2 linked regions of the Caenorhabditis elegans genome follow. The protein of the gene in region 2 purifies or fractionates together with the protein of the main gene of each other region. This does not show direct contact. Each region holds a gene or a part of one and is shown on either strand. Other genes may lie near its edges.

Evidence for each region. Proteins that work in one complex are often made in the same cells at the same time.
Region 1: the proteins of nxf-2 (region 2) and ref-1 purify together in Caenorhabditis elegans (affinity purification with western blotting; one study listed by BioGRID). This does not show direct contact.

Annotation. Positions count from the first base shown.
Region 1 is NC_003280.10:10,214,503-10,222,126, forward strand, and holds ref-1 (Regulator of fusion ref-1), read left to right. Parts: upstream 1-3,968; 5' UTR 3,969-3,970; coding exon 3,971-4,113; intron 4,114-4,167; coding exon 4,168-4,623; intron 4,624-4,673; coding exon 4,674-4,836; intron 4,837-4,892; coding exon 4,893-5,234; 3' UTR 5,235-5,524; downstream 5,525-7,624. UniProt on the Caenorhabditis elegans protein: Probable transcription factor. Binds 5'-TGCCACGTGTCCA-3' in vitro, probably via the E-box motif 5'-CA[TC][AG]TG-3'.
Region 2 is NC_003283.11:14,414,270-14,421,977, forward strand, and holds nxf-2 (Nuclear RNA export factor 2), read right to left. Parts: upstream 3,567-7,708; 5' UTR 3,527-3,566; coding exon 3,215-3,526; intron 3,168-3,214; coding exon 3,081-3,167; intron 3,033-3,080; coding exon 2,886-3,032; intron 2,836-2,885; coding exon 2,773-2,835; intron 2,727-2,772; coding exon 2,595-2,726; intron 2,544-2,594; coding exon 2,479-2,543; intron 2,433-2,478; coding exon 2,021-2,432; 3' UTR 1,878-2,020; downstream 1-1,877. Other genes in the region: nxf-1 (Nuclear RNA export factor 1), read right to left, coding at 1-127, 177-568, 617-743; C15H11.11 (Cytochrome b-c1 complex subunit 10), read left to right, coding at 1,545-1,693, 1,739-1,877; set-31 (SET domain-containing protein), read left to right, coding at 3,827-3,985, 4,124-4,432, 4,480-4,773, 4,822-4,934, 4,981-5,098, 5,145-5,288, 5,335-5,506, 5,553-5,755; dhs-22 (DeHydrogenases, Short chain), read right to left, coding at 5,931-6,126, 6,182-6,771, 6,895-7,021, 7,070-7,158; pas-1 (Proteasome subunit alpha type-6), read right to left, coding at 7,502-7,708. UniProt on the Caenorhabditis elegans protein: Involved in the export of cellular mRNA to the cytoplasm. Plays a role in the nuclear retention of unspliced mRNAs.

The sequences.
Region 1 (7,624 bases), on a different chromosome or scaffold from region 2:
CCGCGTGTCATCCACAGTCACGGAGAAGTACATCATAAAATCCGCGTTCTTGTTCCGTGTCAATTTGCTCGCGGCGGTGTTCACTCGTCTTACTTGTCATCATCAAATGTTGTTTCCCATACCGATTTATCATTGTCGGGGCGACGTGATTGTGGTGGTGCAGGTGTGTAGAGTGGTGAGAGATCGGGGGATATGAAGAGGTTGGGGATGTGAGAGGGCTTGGAGAGTTATCGCGCACTATTGGCTCTGATCTCGCCGACGACAACACTGATATCTTACAAAACACAAAACAACGAGGATTTTAGTGAATTGGATGATTGGTGGAGTTTATGAAGCTAGGAGGCGACTAATTGCCCTAGATAATGGCTTATAACTGTTCCAAATTTTATACCATAAAAATATACTTCTCTGGAAAGTTATGCATAGTCATAGTCTTCCACGTTCTTTATTTCCTAGTTTATATGGATACTCAGCATTTGAATATACACAGCTCTGCTGATTTTACAATTTATTGTTTAAATTGAGTATACTCAATTGCCTCCAAGTATACTGCACATGTCTACCATAGGAACCAGGGCGGCCACAAAATTACCGTATATTCTAGTGGAGTAGCACCCGAGTTGTCAATTTTAACAATTTTCAATGGAACAAACGGCAACTGAAATATAAGCTGTCAAAGTTGAACAAGTGGGGTAGAACACTATATTTGACCAGAAATTTTAAAAAAGTTATTTATTTTTCTATTAACCAAAAGTAAACATTTTTGAACACAGTTCTTTGTTATTTTTTTTAGAAAAACAAACCAAGAAATCTATTTTTGTCAAAAAAACAACTTTCCCACCTCTCTCATCCAAAACTTGCTACCTAATTACAGCGATTCTACCCTTGCATAAACCATAATTATTTACTCTGATATCAAGATCAGATAAAGTACAATATTCACCGGAACAAGAATTTCCCATGAGCCCAGCATGCTCATTTAGGTACTTGACTCAAGATGGTGCAATGTTCCCACATTACAATTTAGAAGGGACATGCATATCTAAAGATGCCGACGAGATTACTTGTACAATTATAGTAAGAACATGTACTGATGGTACAAGATGTAGAGTGTGAAAAATTGTCTGGATTACTGTAGTTTTGAAGATTACTGTACTAGATACTGTACTTAGATAAAAGTTTATTTTTGTGAATTTGAAGTGCGTAGAGTTTTCCAAGCAACCTTTCGAATGGGGCAATTCTAACCAAAAAATATCCCAAATCTTGAAGTTTTATATGCACTCCAAATAGTAGTTACCGTATTTCCTCTATTAGTACTGCACCCCATTATTTTACTTTGAAAAGGTAGAAAAAGAAATAACAAATATTTTGGTAGGGACAATTTTGTATAGTTGAACAATGGGTTGCAATACTGGTAGAGGAAATACAGTAAGTTAACTGGATGTTCTAATCTGCTTTTTGGCTCTGTTAGCAATTTACAATGAGCTAAAGAATGTTTGTCTGAAAATGTAGTTTTACTTGAAATCCCCGTTTCTACGTGTAGAAAATGCAAGAATTACTCAACAATGTAAGTAAACTGGTTTTATTTAAACATCTAAAAAATTCGTTACATCTCACTTTTTTTCATATTCAAATGTAATCATTGATTCTTGTTGTTGTTCTAGATCTAGAAAAACTGGGTCATCATGCAAATCATAAACATGCATACCATAAAATCGGTATACCTAGAAGGTATACCCAAATGTTTACAACTCATGATGATATAGTGCATCTCCACCTTGTGCACCTCCATATGCATTCAGATGTTTACAGACTATCATAAAAGTCTCCAGCACGCCGTTTATGATATTGTTTACCAGAATGCACGTAGATATTCCAGATTATTTGAATATTTCTAGATTTGAAATATACCAAAAATTTCCCAGGGTCCCCCATCTCCAGAATCACAGCCGGAAGTCGGTCTCAATTTCGCACCACAGTGTCAAAATATAATACCGAAAAAACCTTGCTAATTGTCGTGAGAACCTAGTGTAAATATAACAACAATATGGTATTTTATAGGAGGGAAATTGAAAATATAAGTACATAGAAATAATGTTGAAATTCTCAGGACCACGCGTGTCAGATGGCTGGGAACGGTGTATGTACCAAATTAGCGCGCAATGGGAAATCTGCAATATTCTCACAGTTGTGGAAGGTCATGGAGTGTCAGGTTTAGATGGGATCTATGAAAACGATATTGAAGATAAAAATAACATTGAAATCCATTATGTTCCTTATTTGTTTCATACTCGGTGTTTTCTAACTTTCGCCTAAAACATACACATATAATTGGTTGAAAAGTTGGAAAATTCCAGAAAACGTATTTTCTGTAATTTTAAACCTGAGTTGTATTAGGCTTGTTTAAGACGAGAAATAAATTGGCGGTAAATGCCAAATAGACAGTTGTGTTCTGAAAAAACAAGCCTTACAGACTTGAATAAAGTTCTAACCATGTCATAGAGCGTGCGCAGGCCCTACCGTAGAAAACAAAACATTCTACTATTTTGATCTCTGTAAAAGTTGATCTCCTAGAACTTAAATGAAACCAACTTTGTTACGTTGAGTTTGTAGATCGTAAGTATAAAATGTTTGTCGATGCAACCTTGAATATTTTTTTTTAATGTAGGAAATTTTTAGGGTACATTCACTACGCAAGTACCTATTTTTGTCTTCCAATAATTGCCAACGTATTCAAATTTAAAAGAACTCATATCATTATCATCTATCAAAATTCAACTCTCTAACCTATATCTTCCCACAGTCTCACTAGTTCTCTCATCTTCACGTGCCCCTATATTCCCACCACTTCCGTTATACCCCTCTCTCCCTGCACCTTTCCCATGGTTGCCTGCCAGCCAAAGGAGGCGTGGCCTATGCACATCCAACGAGACGGTCCCCGCCTCTAGACGCGTCCGGTTGCAATTAGTCAACAAGTGGGGGCTATCAGAATTTACTTTCATTCATACATCTTCTTCTCATTTTTTTGTTTGTTTTTTAGTTCCAGTATTTACTTTAGCTGTTTTGAGATTTTGAGAAGTGTATTTAGTATACATTCCTAATTATTTTTTGCCCTAAATTCTTTAGAGTCTTACAGTAGCAAATCTACAGTAGTCTATAGCTATGGTTAAGAGTTTCAGCTACAGTAGCAACATAGTTCTACCTCACCAGAAATAGTATTGCTACTGTAGCGCTTCCAATTTCTAGTTTTCCTTAAATTAACCAATTCTCACTTCATTTTAACATTCTTCCCCCGAATTCTCTATGTCTCACCTCACTATCAGTCTTCCAAATTTTCACCTCAAGTACAGTACATCTGAAACTCTAACACCTCCCCATGCATTTTACTGCCTGTAGATCCCTCTTGTTTACCAACTTCTTTCATGTTCTTCCGGTCTGCCGTTTCACTTCCTTTTCTCACCTTGTCGGACCCCTAGCTCTCCATTAAAGGATTAGTACCGCCTGAGCATCCGCCCGGCTCTTCACAGTGTCGCCTCTCACCAGGGGTTATCAAACCAATATGGTCAAGAGTTGTGGGAAACTGTGTCATGACTCAAGTGCTTTTTTCCCATGCACACTTATCAAATGATTCCCACACTGATAACTCGGCACGTCTTTTGTGGTTGATAGTGATGGGAACCATTGGGATATAATTTTTTTTGGCGAAACGACACAAAAAGTGGGTTTTTAGGGTTTAAGGCAATTAAATTTCTACGAATAAGATTCTAATCTAGAAAAAGAAGGCGTGCTGTAGAAGTGAGGGGTACTGTAAATCGCCACGCTCCCTCTTCCGAATGGTTTATGACTTTTCTCTATATCTCCTTCTCTTTCTCTATATTTCTCAAATTCCGCAACATTTCTCCCTTCTTGATTTTGTTCATTTACAAATCGAGCTATAAAAATCAATAAAAACTTAATTTTTTTTCCAGAAATGGTCCTCATCAGTACCCCACCACCAGCTTACGCTCATAACAGAAAAACATCACAGGAGAAGAAACGACGAGATGAGATTAATGCAAAGATCAAGGAGCTTCAACTATTGATTCAAAATGAATCGGATAATGAGAAAATGACGTGAGTTTTCTATTCGTTTAGTGTTATCTTCATTCAAATCTTACTAATTTTCAGCCAAGGTGATGTCTTAAACCGTGCAGTCGAAGTGGTCAGTCGCATGGAAACCGAATCACCTGGACCATCATCAAATCCAAATCGCAAAGGATTCTTTGACGGATTCCGATCAATCGAGTCGCTCACTTATTCCTTCATCAAATCCCTGGGCGTCAATTCAGATGTCTGTCAGGATTTTGTGCAACGTGCCAAGCAGTTTTTCGATCGAGAACGTTCATCTTTGCTGAGCACTGTATCTGGAAAATCAAAGAGAAGATCTGAGTCGGAAATTCTCCACTCTTCAATGAGCTATAGATCCCAGTCAAGCTCTCCATCGACATCGGAATCTGGAATCACAATTGATAGAAAGGAAGTGAAAAAGAATAGAGAGCAAGATAGAAGAGATCGTCAGGGAGAAGCTTTTGATGCTTTGAAGAACTTTATCATTGAGAACAAGCTCATGACATCTCATCAAGTGTAAGCTTAAATTTTCCCAATACCATAAATTAAACTTTTCCTTTTTTCAGCGAAAAAATGCAACGCTTGAACACCCTGGATATCATAATTGCCTACATTCAAAACAAGAAGCACAATTTTGTTAGTCGAAGCGACCAGGAGCAGTCACTCTATGCACATGCAATTGCAGAGGGAAAGAAGACTGCAAAAAACATTGCCTTCCAATTTTTCAAGGTGAGTTGTCAGGAACTTCGAGAAGATTTTTTTAAATGTTATCAATATATTTTCAGAGCGACCGTCACCTCGTTGTCCGATGCGCAGACCTTGAAAAGTTCTTCGAATTCTCCTTATCACCAAAGCCACTCTTTGGATTCCCATCCATGCCCATCCCAATTCCACCACCATCATTCCCAATCTTCCCATTCCGGCCATTCCCATTCTTCCCAATGCCAATGGCACCAATGGCAACAAGTCCAAAATCTCAACAGTCTCCATCATATTCACTGGATTCTCCACCACCATCATCCGATACTTCTTCGTCATCAATCGAAACACCATCCACTCCAAATGAGAACTCGAATTCCAATCCTAAAGCTTCAAGAAAGAGTAAGCTGTTCAGACCATGGGAATAACTTTTCTAAAAAATATATCTCCTTTAATTGTAATTTAGTGTTAAAAGTATATATTCTTATTAATAATTTATCAACCTCAAAATGTTATCGACTTTTTCAACTTATCATATCATTATCATCTCACAACCAAAATCTAGTTTTATTGTCACGGGCTATTAAGCTTACCGGTAGGTTTTATAAATCCTTAATTGTTGTTTTCCCTCAGTATTCATAATATTTATATTGAATTTTCCGATTTTCAGTGATTTTGAAGATTAAATGACTGCAGAATAAAGTATTTATTATCTCTATTATAGTGTTGTATTCTGGTACCTTGTTTCCCATGGCAATTGGTTGCTCATTGCCACGTGTCTCGATAGAATGATGTGACAGTTTTTATTCTCCCACCACCTTGTTCCAGACAGACGACTAATTAGTGTTTTAGTGGGAAATGGTTAATACAATGATACTTCTAATTCAGAGGGTTTAAATCCACAAGGAAAGTATTTCCGCTCTAAATTGAACTTCCGAATGTAACCTAGCTATTTTTTTCTTTGTAAAGTTGATGCCTTTTGAAAAAAACATGTTGAACATTTTGCAGATTTTTTTCAACATATAACATTTTTCGAAATGGCTTCCGGATGATAATCTAACCCTAAACACCCTGAAGCATTAAAAATCTCCATTAAAGTGAATGCATTTTGAATTTAAAGCTGAGTTTGAAATGTAAACCTTTTTTGTGATAAACAAATATTTTCGAATTCCTCAAAAGTTCAAATAAGAATTGCCGATCTTTGAGGTTTCTCTGTTGTTTCCTGCGAATTGTCATCTCGCCGATTATTTGGCCGTTCAGTATTTAGAAACAGTACATTTTAGCCTGGTGTGCCCCCGATACAAACTTCCTTTGTCATCTTTTCTCATGCAATATTTTCCAGAAAAGTTTTGTATAAAAATGCACTGATGCTGGAAACTCAATTTTTGCCACAATTTTTTCCCGAAACTTTTCGCATCTTACTTATAAATATTTGTACTTTAGTTTAGTAAGTTGACATTTACAAATCAAAAGTGCGTAAAACTTTTTTAATGCGGAAACCCAGAGAAAAAGTGTGTTCGGACTGTTGAGGCGATTGTCTCGAAGTTGTTGGCGAACCCGAACCGGTCCGCTTTGTTTGTCTCTCAAAACCTCTTCATTTTCTTTTATCTATCATATTTCACCTATGTTCTATACACCCATTCACCCCCATTTTATGTATGTGAAAAAATGAAAATTTGCATCTGAATTCAGAATATTTTTGTCGTTTTTTATAAGCATTCCTTTTAGGTGTCAATTTTAACATCTCCAAGGAAAATGGTTTCGAGTTTTTTAAAAATTTATATTTAGAAAGTCTGATAACAATACTTTATTTTAGGATTAATGTTAAGATCCGAAATTTTTTCATAAATGTATGGCTTCTTCCGCAAATGCAAAACAATTGACACGACTCTAAAAGTTTTCTTTTTTTTCTGTGATTTATATGTGATGTAATTTTTCTGTGACTTTGTTGCATATACATATGTAGAGTTTAAAATAATTTTCTAAAAAATCAATCTTGACAATTTTTCACTTATATGTCTAAAATTTTTTTGTAAATTTAATTGGGTAAGTTTATCTATGATACTATAATTTTTAAAAAATCGGGTTACAATAAAATGTATCACAGCTTTCGTTTTTCATTAGCAAATACTTTGGAATAGTTATAGAAAACTTTTAAATGATCATAAATGTCTTCAAAGTAAATAAATACAAATATTGAAGCGTCTTCATTCCAATGGAATGAACAAATTGAAAATCCGATAAAGATTTAATTGAAAAATATTGGAAATGCTCCTCTTCTTCTTTTTCACATTCACATCGTCCATTTCTCTTCAATCAACCAAAGCGATTCGAATTTTGTTGAAACAATATTCTTTTGCTCTTTCTCTTTCTCTTCCAGTTTCCAGCCCTTTTCATTCAATTCTCTTTTCTATGTGTGAAGCACCAAAAGCACAAAACTCGAGGAGCATTTTTCTTTATCAAAAAGGAATTGTGAAAATTTCCCAATTTAGTCTGAATTATTTTTCCACACACCGTTATCGAATTGTGCTCCTCGCCGTGGCTAGTATGACGTTATCATACTGTCATTAGGTCATATGTATTATATTTCACACTTTTACTTTATTGTGCTCCTTTTTTCTTGAAATGTCATTCTTTTTTCTTGCAGTTGTAGAATTTCCGGAAACTTTTTTTTCTGAAAATATAGGAATAGGGAGTTGATTGGGTTATTGGAGCTCGAATTAAACTGAGGGTAAATAAGTTTTTAGGAAATAATTTTGAAGGGCTGTGGTGCTTTTGTCAAAATATACGCGATTTTTTAAAAACCAAATATGAAAAA
Region 2 (7,708 bases):
CTGTGAGCATGACATTTCCTTTCGTCAAATTCATCATCATATCCTTTGCCTTGAACTCTTCGTCTTCGTGGAAGTTTGATAAATCCAATACTCGATTCTCGGCGTTGTGACGTTTGTCGACTACTCTCTGAAAAATGTTTGTAATGATTACCTGACAAATAAATTTTGAGGCTTACATGAATGATCTCAATTTCCTCTCGTTTCAGTTTCATCCATGGGGCTGGAACTTTGGAAGTGTAAAACTCAACGCGTGTGCCACTTTCTTTGTGGACAACACGACGATTATTGGCTCGGATAGTTGAAGCAGTGTCCTCGTCGCGGACGTACCATTCAAAGTCTCCACGGGCGTTATCAGTCCAGAGAAGTGGCTTGAAATTTTCGATTATTTGATTAAGCTGCTTGATCAGCCACTTGGCATCAACTTTCTTGGCAGCTCCAGTAGCACGGCACTTGTAGACGATGTCAGCATTACGAACTCCAGTGTTGGCGATGGATGCAGCCGATTGTCCGAAACCGCGTGATGATCCTCCACGACCACGGCTACTGGCAGAAGTAAGGCTTGCACGAACTGAAACAAAAATAAGTTGGCAAGGATATGAATAAATCTAAGCGTTACCTGGAACGGCAGGCTCGTCGTCGTCTTCATATCTGCTTTGAGTGTCTGGGTCAAGTCGAGCAAAACGATTCTTTGTACGTGACAATTGCTTCGCGTCACGATGCCCTCCAAACCCTTTGCGATTCATATCTGAAAGATTTGTATTTCATCGAGGGAAAACTGGTATCGAAAAATTAAATTAAAGGTGTAGGTGAAACACAAATAAATATGATATTCAAGAGAAAGCAATATTGAACATGAAAAGTTATAATAGACAAGGAAAAGTTAAATTTTTACTCATTTCGAAAGTGTTGCGAAACTGGGACGGCTGCCTCATTCCAGCCGGGAGATAATTTAGTTTTGCGGAAATCAGAAAACTCAATGAATCAGATTTTAAAACTATAATTTCACATTTGGAACACTAAGCAAAGAACGGCAATTCGAAAATTGGTGAAACTGAATCATATTTATGCAAAAAAAAATCTCGTGACTTTTATCGGTTGTGCAAACACCGTTACGCAAAAATGCAGACGAGCCCCCAATTTGACGACATAAACAAGAATAAAAAATGTTTTAGGCAAACATGTTTCATGCGAGTCAGAAAATGACGTGAATTCTCGGTTAGAATGATAGTAACACTTAAGAGGCATGATAAAAATCGATCATGCAAAATATTAATCGTTGAACAGTGATTTTCAATTTCGCCGACTACAGTAACCGCAAAAAGATACTACTGTAATATATGAGTAAATTTTCAATATTTCACTGTCACCTGTCAACAAAATATACATATTTCTGCAAATTCAGTGGCTATATAGATAGCAGTAAAAATACGAGAAAACGTTTTGTTCCCCGTAATTTTTGTTTGCTCACCACTCTTTTCCCATCTTCGCAGCCAACAATTTCCAAAACATCCGTCTCTCTCCATTGTTCTTACAACTAAAAGAATATGAAGAAGTACACCCCTGATTCGCGTCTTGACAATATTGCGCCTATTCCGACGCGTTTTGAACGTCGGAAGATGTTGCCAGACATCGGAACTTCAGCCGAATTCACATTCTCCCGTGTTCCCGTATTTCCCGGTTTGAGGAAACCGGGGTAGGTATTTCCACGAAAAGTCTCTTGAAAATGGAATTGTTTCAGAAAAAGAATCATCGCGATCTACCTAGCGAGTGCTTCAATTGGATTCGCAGCTGCTTGGTTTGGTGCTGCCACTTTTGATCAGGTCAATTTGAAAATTGATAGCTACAAAGACCGATTAGACATTGTTCCATACAAATAATTTTTAAAAATGAAGATTAACAAATAACTGTAAAATGTTGAGACAAAAAAAAACATGCTAGGTGTTGGTAACAAGATATGATCCGAAACTAGACATAAAAATACAAATAGGATGCCGTTTAAATGTATGAAAATATATAATTTTCACTGGTCAATGTCCGTTGCTGTCTCCACTAGCATGCGGTACTGATCGCCGCGTCTTTTTGACATCGAGCTAATGAACAGCTGATCGGAAACAATGGCGACTTTTCCTTCGCCTCTTGGAGCAACCATGAATGTTCTCGTAAAATAATTATCATGTTCCTCAGTGTTCTCGGGCTTTATCGCAGATGGTCCGTCACGAAATGTTCCATGTAATGTGAATCCGAGAAGTGTTGCCGAAACAAGGAACACGTCAACTACGAATGTATCCATCAGATGAATTGTGGCAGGAAGTCTCGAAAGTGCAACTACGATATCCATTGCACCGTGTGATATTCTGGAGGCCCGATTTGCGGCAAAATATTCCTGATTCAGAACATTGTGCGAAGTTCTCAGGTACATTCGATAGCTCTCACTTGAAATATAAATAATTATTAAAACCTTAAGACTTCAGACGGTACCTGTCCGGATACATGACAAATTTAATTGGGTCCCACAAGCAGACAACTGTATGCGTGAATGTTGACTGAAAAATATATGTTTATATTTACTACTGAAAAAATGCAAGAATCAGCACGTTATTTGTGTCGTACGCATCCAGAAGTTGCTTCCTTGTCTGCTGTCCATCTGCGCCATCGTAGATTTTGTAATATGTGATGATAAATTCTTCGACAAGAGTACGAACTTCATCACTGCCATAGTATCCATTCTAAAATAATTAGATGATTCGGGAATGTAGAAATATACTGTATCACCCTGAATGGAATTATCTGCTCGATTCTATTGTGATCTGGTTTTGGTTCGACTTCCATTCCATCCTACAATTTAGATAGAAATTGAAATAATTGTTAGGATATTCGTGAATTACCAAATTTGAACATTTTGGGAATGTCTTTTGAATAAAGTTGGCATACTCGGCACATTGCACAAACTTCTCGCAGACTGGATTTCCCTCGAAAAACACAGTTTCTACTGGAATCGTTCCTAACTTCTTCAATTCTTCTCCTGACGAAATCTTAGAAAAAAAAGTTATGAAATTTAAGAATACAAAAACTTTTAAAACCTGATTATGACTCAAGTCGAGGAATTTTAGAAACTTGGATATGCTCGAGAGAGAGGAGAGATGGTCCAAGTGACAGAGCCGATTATTCTGAAAATTACATGGAATTAATTATTTTTTCACAAATTAATCTAAACCGAGAATGAGATTCCGGAAATGCGAGGATATTTGTACCCAATATGCTGTAGAACTACCGACATCACTCTTGTCTTCGTGAGGCACATCAACATGTCCCTTTCGACAAATTCTGTGTTTTTTGAAAAGTTCGACAGGTTAAGAACATCGTCAGTCGCAACATAACACCCATCCACGACATCTTGGACAACCTTGATTTCAGCTGGCCTCAAGTTTGTGACATGTGTCTGGCGTGGTGAAGAATGCGATGAATGGGATGAAAGGCTGAGCCGTCCTTCGATATTCCGATAGCCTCGCCGATTTTGTCCACGCATAATCTTAAAAAGTGAGCATTTAGTTTGAAAAATTGAAGTCGATTTGAAGACAAGAAAATCACTTCGTAAATCTACAGCTACCGTAGTCGCAAGGTGTGTCAATCCATGCGAGACCTCCTCATCCTTTGCAGAAATCATCTAAATTTTTTAATTTAGCCCAAATATTTATTTTTTATTTTTTAGCTAAAAAATCAATCCTCAATTTTTTTGCGAAAAAATAGGTATGTTTAAATCGAAAAAAAAAAGCAAATAAACCGGTAAACGAACTTTCAGGCTGCAGTGCAGAAAAAAGCACCACGAATGACTACGAAGGATATTAAAAAGAAAGCAAAATCGCGAAAGTCCAAGAATGCGATCAAAAAGAATGCATCCAAGTCAAGGAAATGTGACAAAATCTCCACCCAAAATACCGGCAAGGTGGACACCGAATTTTATGAAGTTCAAGATATCGTTCGCTCGGTGTGTTTCTTATAGGGTTATTCAAGTAATGTTGTGAAATTTAAAATTGTATTCAAATACATTTTGATTTGTTCGTGTAACTCAAAAGGTAGTTGCCAAGAAAATTGTTTTCAAACCACCATAATTACAATATCTCAGAGAATCGAAGGACGGGAGATTCAATATACAGTCAAGTGGACGAACTGGAATGGTGGTGACACGGAAGAAGCTGAACGACGACTTGTGTGCACCGAGAAGCTTATGGGGTATGCTGCAAGGACATTGAAATCTTCATACGTAACGAATCTTGACTTTTTCCTCCGAAATCTGGATACCGCGCTTAGTGACTTAGTATTTTTCACGAACACTTTGATACCTTTATCAATCGTAGCGGAAGCCACTGTTTTCGGATCTTCGGTCAAGTTTGTCACGAGAGACAACATCGGAGCAAAGATTATGTATTTGAAAGTGAGTATTTTCTATTTACCCGTACTGGTTTAAAATCGAATTTTCAGTACATCAAAGAGCATAACCAGATGCATCTTCTACACTCCTTCCTCGTTCCACAAATTGATAGAGTCAACAGCAGTCATATTCAGTATGACAAGGAGATGAAATATCAGAGACAGATTTTCGAAGATTATCCTTTCGTCAAGATCTTCTACCCAACTAAGAAGCAATCAGTCCTCTTCCCTCCGCCTCCATTGCCAAACATCTTGTTTGAACCAGTTACAGAAGAAATGTATAAGAATCGTGAAAATTTTCCTCACTTTTTCCCTCGGAAGGGTATAAAAGCTGGATTCAACAATGTGAGCATTTATTATGTTTCTTCTGTTTCTTAAATTCACAAATTTCAGGTTCGGCCATTCATCGACCGGTTGTATTTTGCCAAAGACGAATCACAACAGCCAAAATATCTGAAGGAGGTTGATGAGAATAAGTACGAGGGAATGCGAAGAATCAACAAGGCGTATGTGTTTTGAAAAGTGTTTCAGATTTTAATTATTTTTATTTAGAGTGAACTCGAGATTCTCCATACCACTTGAAATGAGACAGGAACCCGGATCGGGCTGGTACATATTATCAGCTATGTACAGTCTCCCCAATGTTCCTCTGATGGTCATGACTGGAGTGGTAATTTTAAAAACTGTAATTGTAATTGTATAATATTTCATCTCAGATTCGACCAGCCGAAGTTGCTCGAGAATCTTTGCGAACTGAAGGAAAAGAGGTTGCATTCAGTTCTTTCGTCGAAATTCCAGGAACAGATTTGTGCCTCGATCGTCGAGAGTTCTATGACTTCTCAAAATTCATTCCCCACAGCGTGAGTTTTATTCAATTAACTATTCTAATAACTTGATGATATCCAGTGTAATCCAACATGCAATGTTCGTTTGGTTGAATCAGGAAACGACATTCCTGATCTCGTGATTTACTCACGTTTTCCCCTCGACGAAGGCAATGGATATGTGATCACCCTTGATTATTTCAAGGCTTTCAAAAAAGAGGTTGAGGAATACTTCTCAAAGGTTGTTGCTCCAGGTACGTTCTTGATAATTAGTTTTCCTAGATAAATGTCCTCATTCAGACGGCAAACTCTTCCATCTCCTCGAGAAGGATATCGACTTCGTGCAGTGCAAATGTGAGCACAAGTGCCGAGAGATTGTATATATCGACCAGTCAGCGAAGAAGAAGTCCGAGAAGGAGAAACTGACGTCGACGTTCAATGGCATGTCTCTGGTAGAGTCACCAAAAATCTGGAAGATAAAAAATGGTAATTTCCTCGAGTGAAACTCGCTGTAAAATGTTTTCAACTAGTTTTGTTTTTCGTTTTGTTATGTATTACATATTTATTCATTCAATGAAATTTTAATTTTAAATACTTGAATATAAAGCCTTTGTTAAAGTTTACAATGGGATTGATATGAATTCTTAATAGAGAAATTATTGTAGCTGCGCTGGCACATTACTTGGCGAGGCCAGTACATTCCAAGCTATAATTGTACAAATCCTGACAGGCCTGATCATCCAAGGCTAGTGGGTTTTCTTGGGTCAACTTGCAATCGGCAAAGTATTTTCCACTGATTCCACCGATCTTTTTGCCCAATGCAAGGAAGATTGAAGTTTGAGCTCCGTCGCGGCTGGTTTTCATGAGGAACCAACTGAAATTAATTTTATTTATTTTAAGGTTAAGTGTGGAAATTTGGCTTGGCTTACCGGAAAACAGCTGTAATCTGCTTGATTCCTGGTGTATTCAAAATGGTATTTCTCGCGAGCTCGGTATTAACAACTCCTGGGTGCAGGGAGTTAACAGTCACGTGTTCGGCTCCGTCCTTTCTCAATTCCTTAGTCAAGGCTCTTGCGTGCATAACATTTGCCAACTTGCTCTGTCTGTACGATTTCATCATTCCAAACGATTTCTTGTCATCTACAGTAGCCAAATTAATTTTCTCGGATTTCAAATGAATACGAGATGAAACATTGATGATTCGAGCGTAGGAAGACTTCTTAACAGCTGGCAGAAAAAGTTCGGTGAGCAGAAATGGTCCCAAATGGTTGCTCTGCCAAGTTTTCTCATGACCATCCTTGGTTTGCTCGTGTTTGCTTTGAAACATGATTCCAGCATTATTGATAAGGATATCAATGGTGTCAGTCGATTCGAGAGTTTCCTTGGCAGCTCGTCGTACACTTTCAAAATCTGTCAAATCACATTCAATGAAGTGAAGACGAGTGGCATCGCATCCTTGTCTCACGAGCATTCGTTTCGCTTCATTGGCTTTCTCTTCGCTTCTGCACAGCATATAGACCTGGAAAAAATTAGATTATTCTTGATAACTTAAATATGGATAGCATTGTTTAGAAACAAATGCAATTTATGTAATTAGTAATTAGCAATTAATTATAACAATGCAATTAGTTCTGTAACTCACATCAGCTTTCCTCAAATTAAGTTCCCGAACTGTCTCGAATCCAATTCCACAATTAGAACCGGTCACAACGGCTACTAATCCCTTTGCAGAGACTCTTTCATTGAATTGACCTCCTTTAAAGTAACGTCTGAAATATTTTAGATTATAGTTTTAGCTATCGTGAAATATCGATTACCTTGTGAAAAAGAGCACAATAAAAACTACGGATGAAGCGAGCACAAAAAAGAGGAATCCTCCATGTTCTTCAGCATCTGCACCATCCATTTTAATAGATGGTCTGTTAAAACTTTGAATGTATAATTTTTTTAACTTGCAGTTTTCTTCAATGAATTCGTACTAAAAAATAAATAACAGGGATTGCGAAACCACCATCAAAGTCAACATGAATAATATGAAGTGTTTCAAAAATCATTTTATCATGATTTTTAGTGATAAATAAATAGTTTCAAAAGAGAAAGGGGCGGAGGGCAATGATAAAAAAGACCGAGAAACAGGGAGTAAAGAAAACAATAAATAAATTTAGAAAAGGGAAACCAGGTATTTAATTCAATTTGGGTACCGGATCAATTGAAACGGGAAATATTTAAATACAAAGGTCGATGAATATTTAATCTCGGTTGGCGATTTGATTGAGATGATGTTCGACCTGATCGCTGGTTAGCTTGGTGAATTTGGAGTTATCCTTGGTGACAACGACAACCTCAAGATCCTTGGAACGAACGTCGATTCCCAATGAAGTCTGAAGAGCCTCAATGGCGAGTTCAATAGCTTCTGTGGATGTCAATTCGGACTTCTTCTTAATTTTCTTTTCCAA